3 linked regions of the Caenorhabditis elegans genome follow. The protein of the gene in region 3 interacts with the protein of the main gene of each other region in a pairwise test. Each region holds a gene or a part of one and is shown on either strand. Other genes may lie near its edges.

What was found.
Region 1: the proteins of nhr-114 (region 3) and hda-11 interact in a two-hybrid assay, tested with the Caenorhabditis elegans proteins (one large-scale study listed by BioGRID).
Region 2: the proteins of nhr-114 (region 3) and hnd-1 interact in a two-hybrid assay, tested with the Caenorhabditis elegans proteins (one large-scale study listed by BioGRID).

The regions. Positions count from the first base shown.
Region 1 is NC_003283.11:10,523,232-10,529,478, reverse strand, and holds hda-11 (Histone deacetylase 11), read right to left. Parts: upstream 3,296-6,247; 5' UTR 3,170-3,295; coding exon 3,159-3,169; intron 3,091-3,158; coding exon 2,866-3,090; intron 2,669-2,865; coding exon 2,558-2,668; intron 2,512-2,557; coding exon 2,420-2,511; intron 2,354-2,419; coding exon 2,241-2,353; intron 1,685-2,240; coding exon 1,530-1,684; intron 1,482-1,529; coding exon 1,343-1,481; intron 1,242-1,342; coding exon 1,083-1,241; 3' UTR 1,035-1,082; downstream 1-1,034. Other genes in the region: F25D1.3 (Interleukin-17), read right to left, coding at 584-715; xpo-7 (Exportin-7), read left to right, coding at 3,609-3,623, 3,670-3,807, 3,857-4,684, 4,735-5,196, 5,246-5,900, 5,943-6,010, 6,056-6,144, 6,196-6,247.
Region 2 is NC_003284.9:11,681,737-11,686,822, forward strand, and holds hnd-1 (Hand transcription factor 1), read left to right. Parts: upstream 1-2,824; 5' UTR 2,825-2,990; coding exon 2,991-3,133; intron 3,134-3,190; coding exon 3,191-3,305; intron 3,306-3,439; coding exon 3,440-3,635; intron 3,636-3,682; coding exon 3,683-3,909; 3' UTR 3,910-4,052; downstream 4,053-5,086. UniProt on the Caenorhabditis elegans protein: Probable transcription factor which regulates early embryonic myogenesis, in cooperation with transcription factors unc-120 and hlh-1.
Region 3 is NC_003283.11:4,184,240-4,191,079, reverse strand, and holds nhr-114 (Nuclear hormone receptor 114), read right to left. Parts: upstream 3,878-6,840; 5' UTR 3,872-3,877; coding exon 3,688-3,871; intron 3,474-3,687; coding exon 3,271-3,473; intron 3,073-3,270; coding exon 2,734-3,072; intron 2,679-2,733; coding exon 2,548-2,678; intron 2,472-2,547; coding exon 2,350-2,471; intron 2,298-2,349; coding exon 2,183-2,297; exon of another isoform or gene 2,070-2,182; intron 1,379-2,069; coding exon 1,216-1,378; 3' UTR 1,076-1,215; downstream 1-1,075. Other genes in the region: Y45G5AM.9 (Aftiphilin clathrin-binding box domain-containing protein), read left to right, coding at 933-1,064, 6,005-6,580. UniProt on the Caenorhabditis elegans protein: Probable transcription factor which may have a role in detoxifying dietary metabolites arising from bacterial tryptophan metabolism.

The DNA.
Region 1 (6,247 bases), 6.3 Mb from region 3:
AAATACTATGTTACAACCGAAGTGATATTGAAGAAGTTGTTAAAAATCACTTTTGTTGTGCTGTGACCAAATATTATAGTAACTTCTGAAACCATTTTTTAAAAAAATGTTTAAAATTACAATTGAAGGGTAGCAATTACTCAGATTTCATTTTTCATAATTTTGGAAGTTCACCGAAAAATAATATTGGATTATTTTAATCACGTTTAAATTTATTTTACTTAAACATTGTATAGGTTGAAAGCACTGTTCCGAATTTCTCAAATAGTCCAGTTCTTGTTTGTGTTGAAAATTTGGCAATTTACCAAGAAGTTAATTGAATTTTTTTTAAAGTTTAACAATTTTCTGTAAACTTCAATTTTTATATTTGGTCATTTTAGACTGATGGGGGATAAACATGAATATCTATATGACTTTTTGGCCGATTTTCGAGATTTTCCTAAACTTACACTTGGGTTATACTTTCATCCATTTTTCACGCATATTTACACACTTATTGAATAAATCTATGTAAAAATATCTAACAATATCCAGAACATGCTAGTGAAACTATTTACTCTCAATTAAAAAAACAAAAACTAACCAAACTAGGTGGTTCTTCACAATGTTTATCAGTCCATTTACCATTGACATGCCTTCGAACATTGTGTCGTTTTGCTGTCGTGCCTATCACTACTCCAAGAATTAAAATGAAAGCTGTACGGAAGCAAATCATGTCGCAATCGACAGAAGAATCAAATAAAAGATATAGGCGAGAAATGACTGTGTCTCTCTGTGTGACCCTTTACCCGATGATGACCTAGTGACATCCACATAAAGTGAAAATTTGGGAGGAGTCGAGGATTCATAAAAATTGAAAGTTTTAGGAAAAGTTCATATTCAGAGTACTTTGTATTATTTTGGATTGTTTTATTTTTAATGGAATCGGGTTGATATAGAATGTTTCAAAATCATCCATTCGATTTTAAAATGAAATTTTGAACTTGATCCTTCTATCTATTTAGTTTCCCCTGCCATTAAACAATAAAAAATAGTTTAATAAAAAATAATTTATAAGGAAAAGATATGCTGATATAACTTTTTTATTTGATACTGATGAGATTCTTTGACTGGAGATTTTCAATTGATTTTGCAATGAGAAGCGCGTTGTCCTTCTGATACCCTCCACTGGTTACCATGCAAATTGGAATTCCTTTTGATTTTGCTAGATTGAACACAACTTCGTCTCGAGCAATTATGCACTGAAAATTTGATTTTCAAAAAAATATGCAACATCTTATTTCAAAATAGACTATACACCAAATACCAAACTCGTATAACAATATTCCTTGCTTTCACACACCTGTGGACTCAATTTCATTGCTCCCAGAGGATCACCAAGTAGACAGTCTGTGCCAGCGTTGAACATAATGAAATCGAAACCAGGAGGAGTAGTTTTCTCTCTATCAATTAAACACTGTGCCAGTTGTTTGCGTAATTCGCTAAATAAAGTCGGTCAGTGAAAGCAGAAAGCCGCTATGAATACTTACGAGAGGTAGGAAGTATCAGTCGTATGACCATTTACATGAACCGCTCTGTTAATAAATTGACGAGCTTCACGATCATGTGGATAGACATATGGATTGAAAACATCAAATACAAACACATTCGGATTGTCAGCAAAGTCTCGTGCATGGCCATTTCCCTTAAAGTATGATTCAAGCAAAAAATTGGATTCTTAAATTTTAATAATTTTTTTAAACAATTAATATTGTGATTAATATTTCGAATTAATATCTAATATTTGAGAAATATCTTTACGGGCTAGACATATTTCATTCACGTTCCAAATGGTTTTCCAAAATGATACCGTAGTCTATAGAATTCTTAACGTAACTGTAAGGTAGCTAAAATTTGAGGACAATTCTAACTTTGAAAGCTCAGATATCGGCCATCTATGATTTTAGGCAAAATACTTCCTTCATGTGATGTCAGACTGTCTCATTGCGGTTTGATCTACAAAACATGCGGGACTTTTTCCCAGAAAAATTGTGACGTCAGCACGTTCTTAACCATTCCAAATCAAATGAGATGTCTGCGTCTCAACTCCCGCATTTTTCGAAGATCAAAGCGGAATGGGATTTTCTGACTACACGTGTTCCTTTGAGTTATATGCTGTCAAAGTTGAGCAGTGAAGGTGCCGCACGCATCAATAGAAAATATACGGTATTTTATATTCTTTCAAATGTTTTTTCCAGTACCTGATGAGCATCTAAATCTACAACAATCGCGTTGGCAATTGCCTTTTTGTCAAACAAATCGAAAATTGCCATGGTGATATCAGCGTAAAAACAGAATCCACCTCCGCCCGAATCTGAAATTATAGGCTGCTGTACAATCCCATAGCGTCTATTTTTCTTGCGGAATAACAAAAACATACGAGAAGCATGATGGAAACCACCACCCACGTTGATCGCCCAACCATGTTTTAGAGCCAAATTGGCAGCTAAAACTGTTCCACCGGCTTGTAAACTGGAAAACACAAATAAATGAATACAACAATTACTAGGAATGATACCGTAGTGGATGCAATAACTTGCTTTCAATAATGCACGGTGGAAGGCAACCGACAAATGGAATCTCGACGATTTGTGCTGCTTTAATAGGATTTCGAACACTTTTCAGATATCTAAAATAATATGAATAAATTTTTTTTATTAGTTGAAATTGTTGAACGCCTCATCTAACTTTTTTTTAGAATGTCAACTATAAACGTTATGAGCTTAATTATTTTCTTTCAATTTAAGTATGGGGCCATACAAACATGATTTTTTCATAAACCAATTCCACGATTCAATCACATTCACAACACTTTCATGTGCCTACTTTCTATCATGTACTCTAGTGAGTTCTTCAAATGTCGGTAGATTTGGCTCAACGAGTGTTTCATCAGTGATCAGATTCATTTCTTTCAAATGTGTAATGACTCTTCTCCATTTCGAAGAATCAAATGGATGTAAATGTTCGATTCCAAATGCAGTTACATTATATTCAGAATGATAGACAATTGGACGTTGATAACTTTTTAAACTAAAGATTTCATCTTTATCTCTGAAATTATTGATATTTTTGGCATTTCCAACTGCATGTTGTACTACAGATTAAATTTCAAAACTCACCGCTCTGCCATTCAAAATCTGCGTAGAATGAGTGGTTAGAGCGGATAAATAAAGAAGTAGTCGTAAAGATTCTGTTTTTCTTGTTTTTGTTATCAGAAAACAGATAACGAATTCTGAAAATAGTGGAAACTGCCAAAAGATGCCAATTGTGGCGAGAGAGCCTGTGGGATGTAGAGTAGGATGAGAAAGGATGGCCTAACTTTTTTATCGGCCATCCGCCGTGTACTTCACCAGGACAAGATGTTTCGTCTTTCAGAAACTCAAATCATCACCAAAGTTTGCAGTTTTTCGAAACAATTAACGGTGGGAAGACGCCGAATTAATTTTATCCGTTTTAAACATTCTTTTTGCTTTTCAAAACATTTTTCTCCTCTTTCTCAAGCTATAATTACTTCTGAATTGGATATTTTAGGAGTGAATCGCTGAACAGCGGATTCGAAGTCTTCAAAAATGGATGAATTACCGGTTAGCATTTTCAAAATTCTTAATGTGCATTCTAATCTTATTTTAGGTACTAAACAGTCTATGCAAAGATCTATATGAGAGTGTCGATCCGCAAGCCCGACACCGAGCCGAGAGTAACCTTGCGGAACTGTCAGAGTCACCCGAATGCCTTCAAAGATGCATGCTTCTCTTTGCACGAGGAGATGTAAGTCGAAATAATAAAAGTGTTAAACAATTTACATAATGATTTTCAGTACCCATACGGACCAATGGTAGCAAGCACCACACTAATGAAACTTCTCGGCGGAAAAACTAGCATCACTTCTGTTCAGAAGCTCGAGCTTGCAAAATATTTATTGGAAATGCTAGGTCAAGGTGCACCTCAATTTCCTCCATATCTCGTCACATCACTTTGCCAACTTTTTGCAAGACTCACGAAACAAGAATGGACGTATCAAAATCCCACAGAAAATCAAACAGAAGACACAAAAATTGAATATCCATTTCGTGATCCGGTTGATAGCCTTGTCAAAACAATCAACATGGATAATATCGAGGAAAGTATGCTGGCCGTGCAACTGTTAACCTTACTCGTTGCTGACATGAATTCAGCTTCGGGAATGGATTCAGTTAACAAACATCGCAAGAATCTTTCGCAGTTCAGGGACGATTTTTTATATGAGATTTTCTCGGTATCTCTGAATGTTTTGAACGATAATGTGGACAGAAATCTGAACGATCGCCAATTGGGTCTTCTTCACGCGGTTCTCAACTTGAATCTCCAATGTCTACTTTTTGATTATATAGGAAGTTTGACAGACGAAACAAGTGAAGACAACTGTAATGTGCAAATCCCAACAGCATGGAGAGCAAGTTTTACTGATGGAAAAATTGTACAGCTTATGTTCAAACTTTTAAATGTGCTTCCACAAGAATCAAGTGAAAAAGTGATGACAATAATAGCTCAATTGGCAAGTATTCGAAGAACGCTTTTCAATGGAACAGAGCGACAGGCTTACGTTCAAAAACTTGTTGAAGGAGTTGTCAGTGTAATTATGAACCCTGGGAAGCTTAGTGACCAGGTAAGAATAATGAAAAATTAAAGGCAAACATATTTATATACCTGATTTAGGCCGCATTCCACGAGTTTTGCCGTTTGATTGCTCGTCTGAAAACAAATTATCAGCTGTGCGAGCTCATCGCTGTTCCCTGCTACAGTCACATGCTAAGGTTACTCGCGGAATTCACTGTACAAAGCCTACGAATGATGGAGTTCTCAGCCAACAGTACATATTTTCTTATGACATTCTGGCAGAGAATGGTGACGTCTGTTCCATATGTTCGAAATAATGATGAGCATCTTCTCAACGTTTATTGTCCAGAAATCATGACAGCATTCGTCGAGAGTCGATTACAACACGTTGAGAGCATTGTCAGAGAAGGAGCTGAGAATCCATTAGATGATCAAGGAGCAACCCTTCAAGTTATGGAACATCTTGCGATTATATGTAGATGCGAATATGAAAACACATGTAAACTTCTCACTCAACACTTTGATCAAAATGCCAACATCTGGATGAATGGATCTGAAAATGTAAGACACTTAGTTGTTTTTTTTTGAAACTTATAATTTGTATTTACAGGATGCCAATACAGCGATTGCCGAAGGTCGTCTCGTTTGGTTGATTACATTGATCGGAACTGCTGTGTTCGGAAAGACGACAGCAACAAGCAGTGATGTTCACGATAAAATGGACGGAGAACTCATTGCCCGATGTATAACAGTTATGAGATTCAATGATAATCGGCTTCAGTTGTCAAATAATACAGTTCCACTGAAAGGAAATCTTCGACTGGAAGTTTCATTTATTCACATGCTTGAGCAATTCCGTCGTGCGTATATCATGGATCAAATCACTCGAGCCAGTGCAGTCTACGACACACTTGAAGCAGAACTGCGTATTACGGAAGAGTCTGACATGCTAGGTGTTATTGTACAAAAGATTCTCACAAATCTGAAATTCTGGCCGTCCAACTCTGATCTCTTGGATCTTTCCCTATCTTTGTTCAAGGATTTATCGCTTGGATATTCTGCAGTTCGAAAGTTATTCCGTTTACCAGAAGTTCAGCTTCTATTGAACAATCACACTGCCGATCATTTCATGTTTCTTGGTCCAAATATTGATTATCAAACAATGAAACAGCGAACGACGTTTTACGAAGCACTAACGCGTCTTTTAACAACGGATTATTCGGACGACGAGGAAATGCTTCAAAGATTCCTTCGTCCTCTTACAGGTAGATTCAATTCCAATTGATTTTCAAATGTACTTTTTTCAGATACAGTTGAAGGAATTTGCACTGTGATCCAGAATAATTGCCAAGGAGTTGAAGAAGAACAATTAAAGGTTATAAAAATGAACGTTTTCAAAACTAAAACAAACTTTTTACAGAAAATTATTACTGGACTGTGTCGAGATCTTCGAGGAGTGGCAATAGCATCAACAACGAAAACTATCTTCCAAATTCTATTCGAATGGATGTATGTTTTTCCTATAAATATTTATTATTTTTCAATTATTTTTCTTTCCAGGTACCCAGAAGTGTTCAATATTATGCAGTTCTCGGTAGAAAAATGGCCTGGA
Region 2 (5,086 bases), on a different chromosome or scaffold from region 3:
CCCATGAACGAGTGGTGAAATGAGGCACAAAACTAAAATTACTAATACTTTCGACAATTCAACGAGAACCATCAAAGTCTCAGTCCGTCACCAACTATGGTAATTTTCAGCAGCCTTTGGAAAAGGGAAGATTGATTATGTGAAACTTTTCAAGATGTTGATTGTATAAATGGATTTTTTAAAAATTTATATTTTTTTGCAGCGGCTTTATGATAATGTTATTCTGAAGCTCTAGTTTGTGGACAAGATGCCCACAACTCTCGTTGTTCCTAATTTACCATATTATAAGAAATAGGAACAAATGTCGGCACCTACAAAACAGATTAACACTCCGGTGAACGATATGCCAATTATTGTAATCCAGATCATAATAGATTCAATGTTTACATTTTTGACGATGAGTAGAGGCACATGTTCCACAACTTTGCCGCAACAAGAATCATGACGTAATCAGATGTTATTTGGACGTATCCTTAATTGGATAATACCGTTTGTCTGTGTTGTTTTGCCGGCGGTTAAGCAAACAGTTGAACAAATTCTATGGGAAACAAAATAATTAAAACTGGCAGCTTACCAAAAAACTATACTAGAAATAATTATGTTAAATACGCTCGCAAGTTAGTTTTGAACAGTAGTGCTGCAAAATTAGGTCGGTGCTCGACCTCTGAATAGCTTAATTTTAAGCAGATCGCCTCAAAAATTGTTCAAAAATTTACATCTATGCTCAACAAAAATTTCAATTTTGCTGGCTTGTAAGTGGAACGGTGGTCGGAAATCAGAAATTTAATGTACTTTGTCTGCTCATTATATTACTGCGATACTAACAAATAAAAAAACCATATTGTAAAACTTTCAAGATCTCATGTATGCCTTAATTTTCATTAAAATCGTATAAATATTCACCCTTACATGAGAACTATCATAAAATATCTCTAACTTTAGTGTTTTATTCATTGTCAAAAATATTTAACCACATCATTTTGATGTATTTTCCATTTTCTCATGTTTTTGCTCTCACAAGATTAGTTGAGCAAACAAACACATCCTTGTCGAGAGGTGTTCTGAGTCTCATGAACTAATAAATCCTCCTCACCGGATAGTATTACCTGACACATTGCCAGACGGTTGCGTTTTACAACTACAAACGTAAAGTTTATGAGAGTTCCTTGAGCCTGGAGTCTTGAGCAATTGGTTCCCCCTCTCAGTTTTTGCTATAATTCAAAAGCGACTCAAACAAGTATTTGAATGTTTATTGACTGCTGTTATTCCGCCGTTTAATGATCAATACTAGCGGCAAATTTACGACCTGGTTGTAAACTTGATACACTGTTTGAAGATTTCCCAGGAGTCGAAGCGGATTTCTTTCAGTCATCCTAACGGGGCTAGATTTGAATGCAATCAACAGGTGCCGAGTAGCATATGACGGTTTATATTGCACCGTACTTGAAGTAGCGCGCGATGAGAGGGAAAAGGTTGCGCTCGTTTTGACGGCAGAGTTACGCAAAATACCGACTGACTGGAATTTGAGGCAAAAAGTTGTGCTATGGAAATTGAGTAGTGTAAACTGATAAAACCTTGCATAAATGTGATTAGTTTATATTAGATGATTTACTCGGTGTAACCGTATGTGAAATGTGAAATTGAAAGGAAAAACTGTACATATAGGTTTTTTTCCCCCAAAAAACGTTTTTGAAACATTTTTAACACTGAATATATCTACTTTTACTTCAGGATTTAGAAAATAACATAACTATGCCTAAAATTCCAAATAAACCACGTTACATTTCAAAAACTGCAAAAACTTTTTGATGTGAACGAAACCCATAAGTACCAAACATTCCATACAGGAACACCTTTCAAACCAGACTTGGATGCCTTTCTAGGTAGTTTTCATGGATTTTTCTTAGTACTGTTTTTTTTTTGAAAAGATTGCATAAGAAATACTTAGTACATATATTCCAAATTCGTGGGAAATTTTTAAGATAGAGACACCTACACAGATTGATTTCCAGTTTCATTATAAGGCGTTTTCTCTACTTAGCAAGATGTCAGAAAACAATGCTTGCTTTTATCAAATATAAATGTAGATAAGCATTTTTTGAAATAATGGAACACAATCAACAAATATTCACAACTAAATCCCTTAATTTCTGTGCATCAATAATGCCAATGTCTCTACCGTATGATATCAATTGGCTCACTCTGTAATCTAAACAAAGTGTAATTGAGTCCGGCACGGGTTTGTCGGCATCTTTTCGAAGAGGGGTGATTGCGCGAAAGCCGTGCGTCGGGATGCCCAGACAGGGCGGCAAGCGGCTAGTTTTTGATGGCGGGGGATGGTCCGGATGGGAACTCGTATACCGAGAATTCATAAACATTTGTAGACTGTATCTGAACTGTGATTTACTGTGTTGATACTAGTGGATTCTTTAGAAAAGTATCTTAAACTCAAAAAAAAACTTTCTTATAGTCATATTAACTTATGTAGCAATAGTATTTGAATAAATTTTATGACGTCAGATAATAAGTTTCAATAAACATCGCAGCACTAATTGTAAGTGAATAATCCTGTTACTTTATTTGAGAATATAAAAATTATACTTATATTTTTGCCTCAAACTCTGATGCCATGCATATTTCACGGATAACCCATATTAAAAAGTCAAATATCGGAAGTCTATTTTTTTGAACATTTTTGGATAACCATGTACATATACACATCATCAATTTTACAACCCCTTGCCATTCCAGTTTTACAGCCTGTCTTTATACAAAAAATCTCCACCTCAACATAAGTATAATGTCAACAACAAAAACATATTCCAGGCCGGATAGTAGTCTACACAGATCCTCCCACCATCGTGAACCTTTCCTGCCCGCATCTATCCTCCCTTGCGGGGTCTGTCTTCTTGCTCCGCCCACCCGTACCCATCTTGCGTACCTCATTCCTCCGATTCAAGTCAGTGATATATCGCTAGCTCATCTACAAAATGGTCAAATCAACAACTGCTGGAAACAATGCGGTTTCTTCATTAGAATCCACTGATTCCAAGAAGTCAAGAAAGGAAAAGTCTCGCGAGAAGGAGCATCGTCGTGCTCAATGTATCAACTCGGCCTTTGAGATTCTTCAGCAGTAAGTTGTTAACATTTCTTTTCCCTAAACAAATAGCTAACTTAATCTTATTTTCAGACATATTCCATACCTCAAATCGGAAGAGAGAAAGTCGCTGCCAAAGATCAAAACGCTTCGTCTTGCCATGCAGTACATTGATCATTTGAAAAAATTGCTGGGAGGAAATGAGATGGTATGTCGAATCATAATGTTTGTAACTGTAGTAATACTTTTTCGTACCATCAGTCAAAATGATCGTGTTTTGAATTATCTACTGTTTCAAATATCAAATTTCTTCAAATTCCTAACTCTTGTACGTTTTTTCAGCTCGAAACCGATTGCAACGAATCTCGCCCACTCACTCACTCAGATTTCCGTGTCAATATCTCGAATGAGATTAGAATTCGGAACAGTTACCGAGAGAGAGCCCACAATCAGGAGTTGGATGAAGCAACTGTGAAGAGAATTTTGGCTCGCGAAGATCAACGCCGTCGCTGCAGCTCAGTTCCGGAGGGAATACAAAGTAAGATCATAAAAATAGAGACATGGAAAAACAATTGAAATTTTCAGGATATACTCCTTACCAGAGCCGTCAATTCGGACCGATTTCGAACAATGTGTGCAACTTTCGCCACGTAGATGCTAACCAATACAACACCAACTTCATGGAATATCAAACACAAATGGTCCAGGTCGCCAACTTCCCAAATCAGTTCTCGCATGAGTATTACAACTATGGCACATTCCCAGTTATTGATCCAACTTCATTGGAGAACAGTAATCCAATTTTGCAATAACATTGTCTCATGTTATGTTACTCACGGTTTCCTTAATTGATCTCTATATTTCGACACGTTATTTGATTGCTCAACATAATTGTAAAGTCCGTTTCCGGCCATAAACTTTGTTATATTCAATAAATTTGTTACCTAATAAACAGTGCTCTTGAACGAACAAAAATGTTTATGTAATAAGATATTGTGATCCCTGGTGGCCTCTAATCCTACTTATATGGTGCCATGTGAGCCGTAGATGTGGAGGGGAAGGAAGTTGTGGGGAACTTGAACGGACAAAGTTATTTGATACACAAAGGTTATGTCCAGAAAGTCAAGATAATCGGTATTAAACTCTAATTTTTTATTTAAAAAAGTAGTGTTAGAAATATCAATGCACAAAGTATCATATTTTCAATAAACTTTGAAAGTAAAACTACTTCAAAGATTGCAAATTCCTCCTATAATTGAAAAATCATGCGTAGAAAATTACACAGAACAAAAACTGTGGGCCCAAGTTAAAATATTTCCTCTGGATCGCTAGACGCTAAAATTTTGCGAACTGTGTCACAACGGACGAAGTGTCACAACGGACGAACCTTTTTTTACTGAGTGGAATGTGTGGTTATGTTTCTTTTATAGACTAAAACTAGCCCAAAACGATTGAATTTCTTGGTTAGACTTCGCAAAAAAATTCAAAAACTGTTGTATGACGGATAAAAATTTCAAAACAAAACATCAAGTTTTGCTTAAATCTGAAATTTCGTCAAGTTTTATTTGTCGCGAAAATGAACAAAATTGAATGCTTATTGGCTTGGAGGTTGTAACATCAACAAATTTAGTTGAGATAAAAAACTAAAATATGCATTAAAGGGTGATAAGTTATCTCTGCTGCTACTGTTGCAAAGAAGAAAATTCAATTCAGCAACATTTGGCTCTTTTTTTTCAAAATGTTGACCCGCCATAAAACATTTTTCTAAATTTTATTATTCGTTGATTCAGTACATTATTGTATCATATTTGTGAACCCATTGACTGAAAAAGTACATAAATAATCAAATCCGGTAGGTCATTTTATTCTGAAAAAGCACAACCTCAAATTTCCATAATCCTTGAAAATTTTGTAAAACGTAGGAAGAACTGGGGTAAAATATTTCGCGGTGATTTTTTCATATTTATTACAGTTTTAGCAGACCCTATG
Region 3 (6,840 bases):
TGTACCCAAAATGAAATAAAACAGTGTCAAATTACCGAATATAAATGTTTAAAAATTTATGGAATTTTCCTACATTTATTAAAAATACTTTTTCAGTTTTGCAACAAAAAAATAGGTAGAAAGAGTTGAATTATTTTTTTGTGCAAGTTCCCGCGCAAATGACGTCATTTTCGACATTTTCGATTTTTTACAGAAATTTTTCAGTTAAGAAAATCCTAAAATTGGCCTGAAAATCAATAATTTAACAGTAGAAAAACTTTTTCTTCGGAAAAATTTCCGAAAAAAATTGTGAAATTATGTTTCAAAATGAAAAATTGAAGAAAACCCTATCCGGATTTGCCGGAAATTTTGATTTTTGGCAAATCGCCGGTTTGCCGGAAATTTTCATTTTTGGCAAATTGCCGATTTACCGGAAATTTTGATTTTTGGCAAATTGCCGGTTTGCCGGAAATTTTCATTTTTGGCAAATTGCCGGTTTGCCGGAAATTTTCATTTTCGGTAAATTGCCGGTTTGCCGGAAATTTTGATTTGTGGAAAATTGCCGGTTTTGCCGATTTGCCGGAATTTTTCGTTTTCGGGAAATTGCCGGTTTGCCGGAATTTTTCGTTTTCGGGAAATTGCCGGTTTGCCGGAATTTTTCGTTTTCGGCAAATTGCCGGTGTTCCGATTTGCCGGAAATTTTCAATTCCGGCAATTTCGCCGATTTGCCAGAAAATGTCATTTTCGACAAATTGTCAGTTTGCCGATTTGCCGGAAAAATCGTTTGCCCCCGACCCCTGCTTTGAATTATGAACAAAAACCTTCAATCAACTTTAAAATAGCAATGCAACATTTTGAAATTAAAATTTGCAATCAATTTTTTTTGTCAAAAAATGTTCTAAAAATTGAACTAATTTTGCCAAAAATTTACCCCAAAAATCCCGTAATTTCAGATGACGACTGCATTATCACAGGACGAATTTACGGGATTTCAAAATTCGGAAATACAGAAAGAAGAAGACGATGACGACGATGAGTGGGGAGATTTTGGAGAAGCCGTTGTTGCTGCTGCACCAATTCAGGCGGTAAGAAAAAAAAGTTAAAACTTTATTGCAAAAAAAATACCAAAAAAAAAAAATAATAATAAACGTATATAAATAGGATTAGCATTGAGATTTTTTTTCAAGCGTGTAAATATTTCTGGAAATTAATTTATTAAATTTAAATTTATTCACTTCACAATTTGTGAGCAACAACGCTCGTCGTATCACCGAAAAACAGTTGCCGGGCAAACGCCGAGAAGCCGATATTCTCGAAAAAGTCTGCAATCCACACGGCCTCTTTCGATTCGCACGCCATTTTTGACATGGACGTTCCCATCAGAACCAATCGTGCGAATCTGCAACACGGGGATGAAATTGTGATCTATCAGTGCCGGGGGCTAAAAATTTTGGTAAATTGCCGAACTTTTGGTACATTCTCAAAATTTTAATAAATTGCCAATTTTTTGATAAATTGCCTAAATTTTGGGAAATGTTCAAAATTTTGGTAAATTCTTAAAATTTTGGTAAATTGCCAATTTTTTAATAAATTGCCAAAACTTTTGGAGGCACCACCGAAAGGAGAACATGTGAAAAAGGAGAATTACGAAAAGGAGAACACAAAACCACGCCCATTTTTCCATGCCGCGCGCAAGTTTTTGCAGAAACTTGTGCAAATTTTTATTTTCAAACGAGATAACGCGAAGCTCCGAAAGAACGTATCGCGTGTTGTTTATCACACGAATTCGTTAGTTCGGATCTTCGTTGTCTCGTTTGAAAATAAAAATTTGCACAAGTTTATGCAAAAACTTGCGCTCGGCACGGATAAATAGGCGTGGTTTTGTGTTCTCCTTTTCGTAATTCTCCTTTTTCACATGTTCTCGTTTCCGTGGTGCCTCCCAAAATTGTGAGAATTTTTCCAAAATTTTAGCATTTTACCAAAATGTTGAGAATTTACCAAAATTTTAGCATTTTACCAAAAATTTGAAAATTTAGCAAAATTTAGAGAATTTACCGAAATTTTGGTCAAAGTGTTCCAACTTAGCTTACTTAGCTAGTCCGCAACAAGACACATCAAATTGTGATCTATCAATGTTTGATTTGATCGACAAGCGAGTAATAGATGAATGCATCAAAGGAAGGAAAAACGTGATTTCACCAACCTTTCGATTGCCGTGTCCACGTCGTCTTTCATGGCCATGTAGCCGTATAACTGCTTGGTGATGCGGACTCGTTCGTTGTTCACAAGCTTGCGAGCCGGTAGAGAGATGTCAGCGTCTGGAATCGCATCAAAGTGAAAGTTTGGCTCTTATTGAGATTCCGCCCGGACCTGGATTCAGAAACGTTACCGCTTTGAACGCTGCAAATTCGGTTGCGTCGAGCTGTAGATCACGGAACGGCTTGAGCACGAGATCCAACATTTGATACTTTTTCCTGTTGAGTCCGGCTGGCCTATAACGATTGAACACAACGCGGAACGAGACGGGAATTGGGGCTCGGTTTGGAGTATATGTGACCGACAACTTACCGGGTTGGCTCTGGAGTACGATCGAAGTAGGCACCATCTGGGAATACAATTGTGTCTGGTCCGTAGTCCGGGGAGTTCCAGACTTGAACCAGGACTGGGACTGTTATTGCGGCATGGCGAACAAGTTCGGCCTGGAAAGGATTGAAATAATTAAATCGTTATACATGTTTCTGGTTTTCTTCCAACCTTATCTTGATAATCGAGCGCCTCAAAAACATCGAATGTTTTGGCATACTCTGTCAACAAGAACCAGTCTCTCTCGTGCCAATAGTGGTAGTCGTCGTGATTGACGAATCGTAGATCGAAGATCTGATGTCTCTCACTCGGCTGTCCCCACTTTTCCAAAAAAGCCGTGTCGTTCAGCAGAGCCTTTGAGCATAGAGCCTCGTGGAGAGATCGGATTGGAAGATATTCGGAGAGTCGGAGATCATTTGCACACTTTTCGCGTTCGGCAAGAGTTTGTAGGATGCAGCGACGAGGTTTCAGTGGTGCAGCTTGGAAAAGGAGTGGCGAGATTGGTGGAGGCTGTAATTTGGGATCACGTGGTGTCAGAGTTTCTCATTTCGGCTTGATCTACGTAGATCTATAGAAAATGCGGGAAAAGAGACGCAGAGTTCTCAACTGATTTTGCATGGTTGAGAACGTGCTGACGTCACACATTTTTTGGGCAAAAAAATTCTCGCATTTTTTGTAGATCAAACCGTAATTGGACTAATTAATTACCGATAGCTGTAATGGAGACACTGATGGTGGGGTGCTTGCTCCTTCGTCACTTGAACAGTCCGAGGTAGTCTTCAGCTCTTTTTTTGGACGCCTGGTACGTTTTGTGTATCCGATAGGGTCACGGTTTTGTTGGAGGGCGTTTCGGTCCATTCCCACGCTCAAACATTTCTCGAATCGGCAGTATCGGCAGGCACAGCGGATAGCTGAACTTTTGAAATATTTTTTATAAGTTCCTTGTTACTGCTAACAAGTGGTGTCAGAGTGTCCCATTTCGTTTTGATCTACGAGAATTGCGGAACTGATTCCGCATGGTTAAGAACGTGCTGACGTCACATTTTTTGGGCGAAAAATCCCCGCATTTCTTGTAGATCAAACCGAAATGGGACAGCCTGACACCAAGTGTGCTAAATAACTCACTTTTATCAACTGGACAATTGCCCTCGAATTGGCAAATGTACTTTTGTTTCTTCATAATTGTTCGCCGGAAAAATGTCTTGCATCCGACACATGACGGGACACCATAATGGTAGCCAGAAGCGAAATCTTGACAAACGAGACAAACGTGATCACGAGACGAGCTCGGAGACGATTGAGGTGTCATTTTGACCTGAAATACGCCTTGTTTGTATTGGTTTTTTTTGTGACAACGAGAATAATGCCAAGAGACACTAGACACGATAACAAATGCAAAGTGCCCCCGAATCGATGCGTTTTAGAGATAAAATGAAGGAGAAGAGGAGAGGTAAACTACAACAATTGAACTGTGATGTGAGACAGGCTAGGGACAGCTGTTGCAAAAAAACATTTGAACTTTTGATTTCTAATCATTTGAGCAAACTTTTTTTGAAACAATGATTTGCTGGGTGGTTTTGGAAGTTTTTTTGGAAAGAAATCAAGTCCTTGATGAAGTGACTCGGAAAAACGGGCGGTCAAATGATTGTTCATTATCAACATATTAACAGGCTGCCTAAGAAATGAGAATAGAAGACCTTGAGATGTATATTCTATATATGTCTGATATCAACGTGAAGATCGAACTGTCTTGCAATAAAACACAGTGGCTTGGGGCCTGCTGCTGACCAGCAGCTTCATCGCGTCCTCATGTATTTTTCACACTACCCCCTCCTCCTCTCAATTTCCGATCGTCCCCGTCGTCATACGACAAAGATTTGGGACGTTATCGCTGCCCGTTATATACGATTCTTCTTGACCAATGAACAAAGTACATGCGATGGGGGGGGGGGGGGGGGTGGAGCCTCTCTTGGAAAATGCCACGAGAAAACCACGCCATGTAATGTTGAAGAAGGGAAGATTTGATAAAGAAAGAAGTCTGCACCTACCTACTATGTGAGAAGACTTTTGTACACACAGACTGTAGCAGCAGCAGCAGAAGAAGAAGCTACACGTGGTGGCAGAGTGTCTCATTTTGGATTGATCTACGTTGATCTACAAAAAATGCGGGTGAGAAGAAACGCAGAGTTCTCAACTGTTTTCGGATGGTTAAAAACGTACTGACGTCACACATTTTTTTGGGCGAAAATTTCCGCATTTTTTGTAGATCAAACCGTAATGGGACCGTCTGGCACTACGTGAGCTAATCAATTTGTCTATGATACAGGAGACATGAAGAATGAGAAAGTTGCATTGTTAGTTGCTGAGAAATAGGCGAAAATTCGTCCTATTAGATGTTTTGGTCATTTGATTGCTGATAAGACACTGATAAGTGCTAATCAATTTAAGAATTAGTTGTTGGTAAATTTAACCATCTTATGATTAAAATAAAAACATCAATATTTGTACAAAAAATTCTGAGAATGCGTATTGCATAACATATTTGACGCGCAAAACATCTCGTAGCGAAAAAGAAGACTACAGTAATCGTTTAAATGACTTCTGTAGTGCTTCTGTGTCGATTTACGAGCTCGATTTTTGAAATGAATTCTTCTTTTCGAATATTGCCGGTCCAGAGAATGAGGAAAGTTGAATGGACACAGATATTCCGGAACCCAAGGTTGCGGGAAGAGCCGATTTGTATGGATTTACGGAGAGTTTGTGAATAAAAACACTCCGTAAATCGACAAAAATCGTCTCTTCCCGCGCCCCGCCCCTTGGGTTCCGGAATGTCTGTGTCCATTCAACTATCTACACTCTCTGTACCGGTAATATTTGAAAAGAAGAATTTAATTAAAGAATCGATCTCCCGTAAATCGACACAAAAGCACTACAGTAGCCATTTAAACGATTACTGTAGTTTTCTTTTTCGCTGCGAGATATTTTGCGCGGCAAATGTGTTGCACAATACGCAGCATTCTCAGAATTTTTTTTTTCGATGTCAGCGTGGCGAGACCCATGCGCGCAGGATACGCCGAAAATGCTTTTATTCAGACTTCAAAGCGACTTTTTGCAAAAATCCAAAATTGTCCTAAATTTCTTTAAAAAATCACAAACAAAATGAAAAAAAAATCGCGGAAGATTGCAAAAATCCAACTTCACGTAGTGTCAGAAAGTCTCATTGCGGTTTGATCTACAAAAAATGCGCGATTTTTTTCCCAGAAAAATTGTGACGTCAGCACACTCTTAACCATGCGAAATCAGTTGAGATGTCTGCGTCTCACCTCCCGCATTTTTTGTAGATCAAAGCGAAATGGGACTTTCTGACCCCACGTGCAACTTTTTAAAACAAAATTTCATATCCAAAATGAAAGTTTCGACCAAAATATGTTTCCTTTTTCAGAGACCTCAATCGCCGCCTCCATCGTTGAAAATGGATGGTTTCAATAACGAAGACGACGATGATGATGACGATTGGGGAGCATTTGATCAGGCTCGGCCTTCAACAGATCGGACTGAAAGTAGCCCGAATTCGTCTCGATCTCAGGAAGCGCGCCACCAACAATCGCTGGATGAATGGGGAGCATTTGAGAATTCGAACGATTTGAAAGCAAATGGTGATGAATGGCAAGCTGAATTCAGTTCAGCTTCGGATGTTCCACCACCACCTTCGGATACTGTACTAGAAAATTTGGAGCTCCTGGATGAAATGCTCGAGAATGTCGAATTTTGGCATGACGGATTTCAAGAAGAATGTCGTGAAGAAGAGGAGTCACCTGAAATGGATGTAGTCGATATTCCGGCTCTTTTCGATTCGGAGAATCTTGTAGAAATGGTGAATAGCTTTGAAGTGGAAAGGCAACGAGATTCACGATTATGGTTATCTCTGCGTCTTGTCGAAGAGGCGATCTCACTGAAATTTGATTGGAATAACTCGGAAATTCGAAAAAATCATCTAAAATCATTGAAAATTAACCCGGTGAGTTTTTTTTCTAAAAATTTCGATGAAAAAAGTTATATAAATTTAAATTTAAATTTAATTAATTAAATAAATAACAGTTAATTAAATATTTAATTAATTAAAAGAAAAATTATTTTTTTAAACATAAATTCCCCCAAATCATTTTCAGTCTCGATATTTCCATCTAGAAAATTATTATAATTGTTCCGAGGTCCCGACACGACAAAAAAATTTGTTTAAATTTAATTCGAGAAACGAGTGCTGCGCCTTTAAAGATT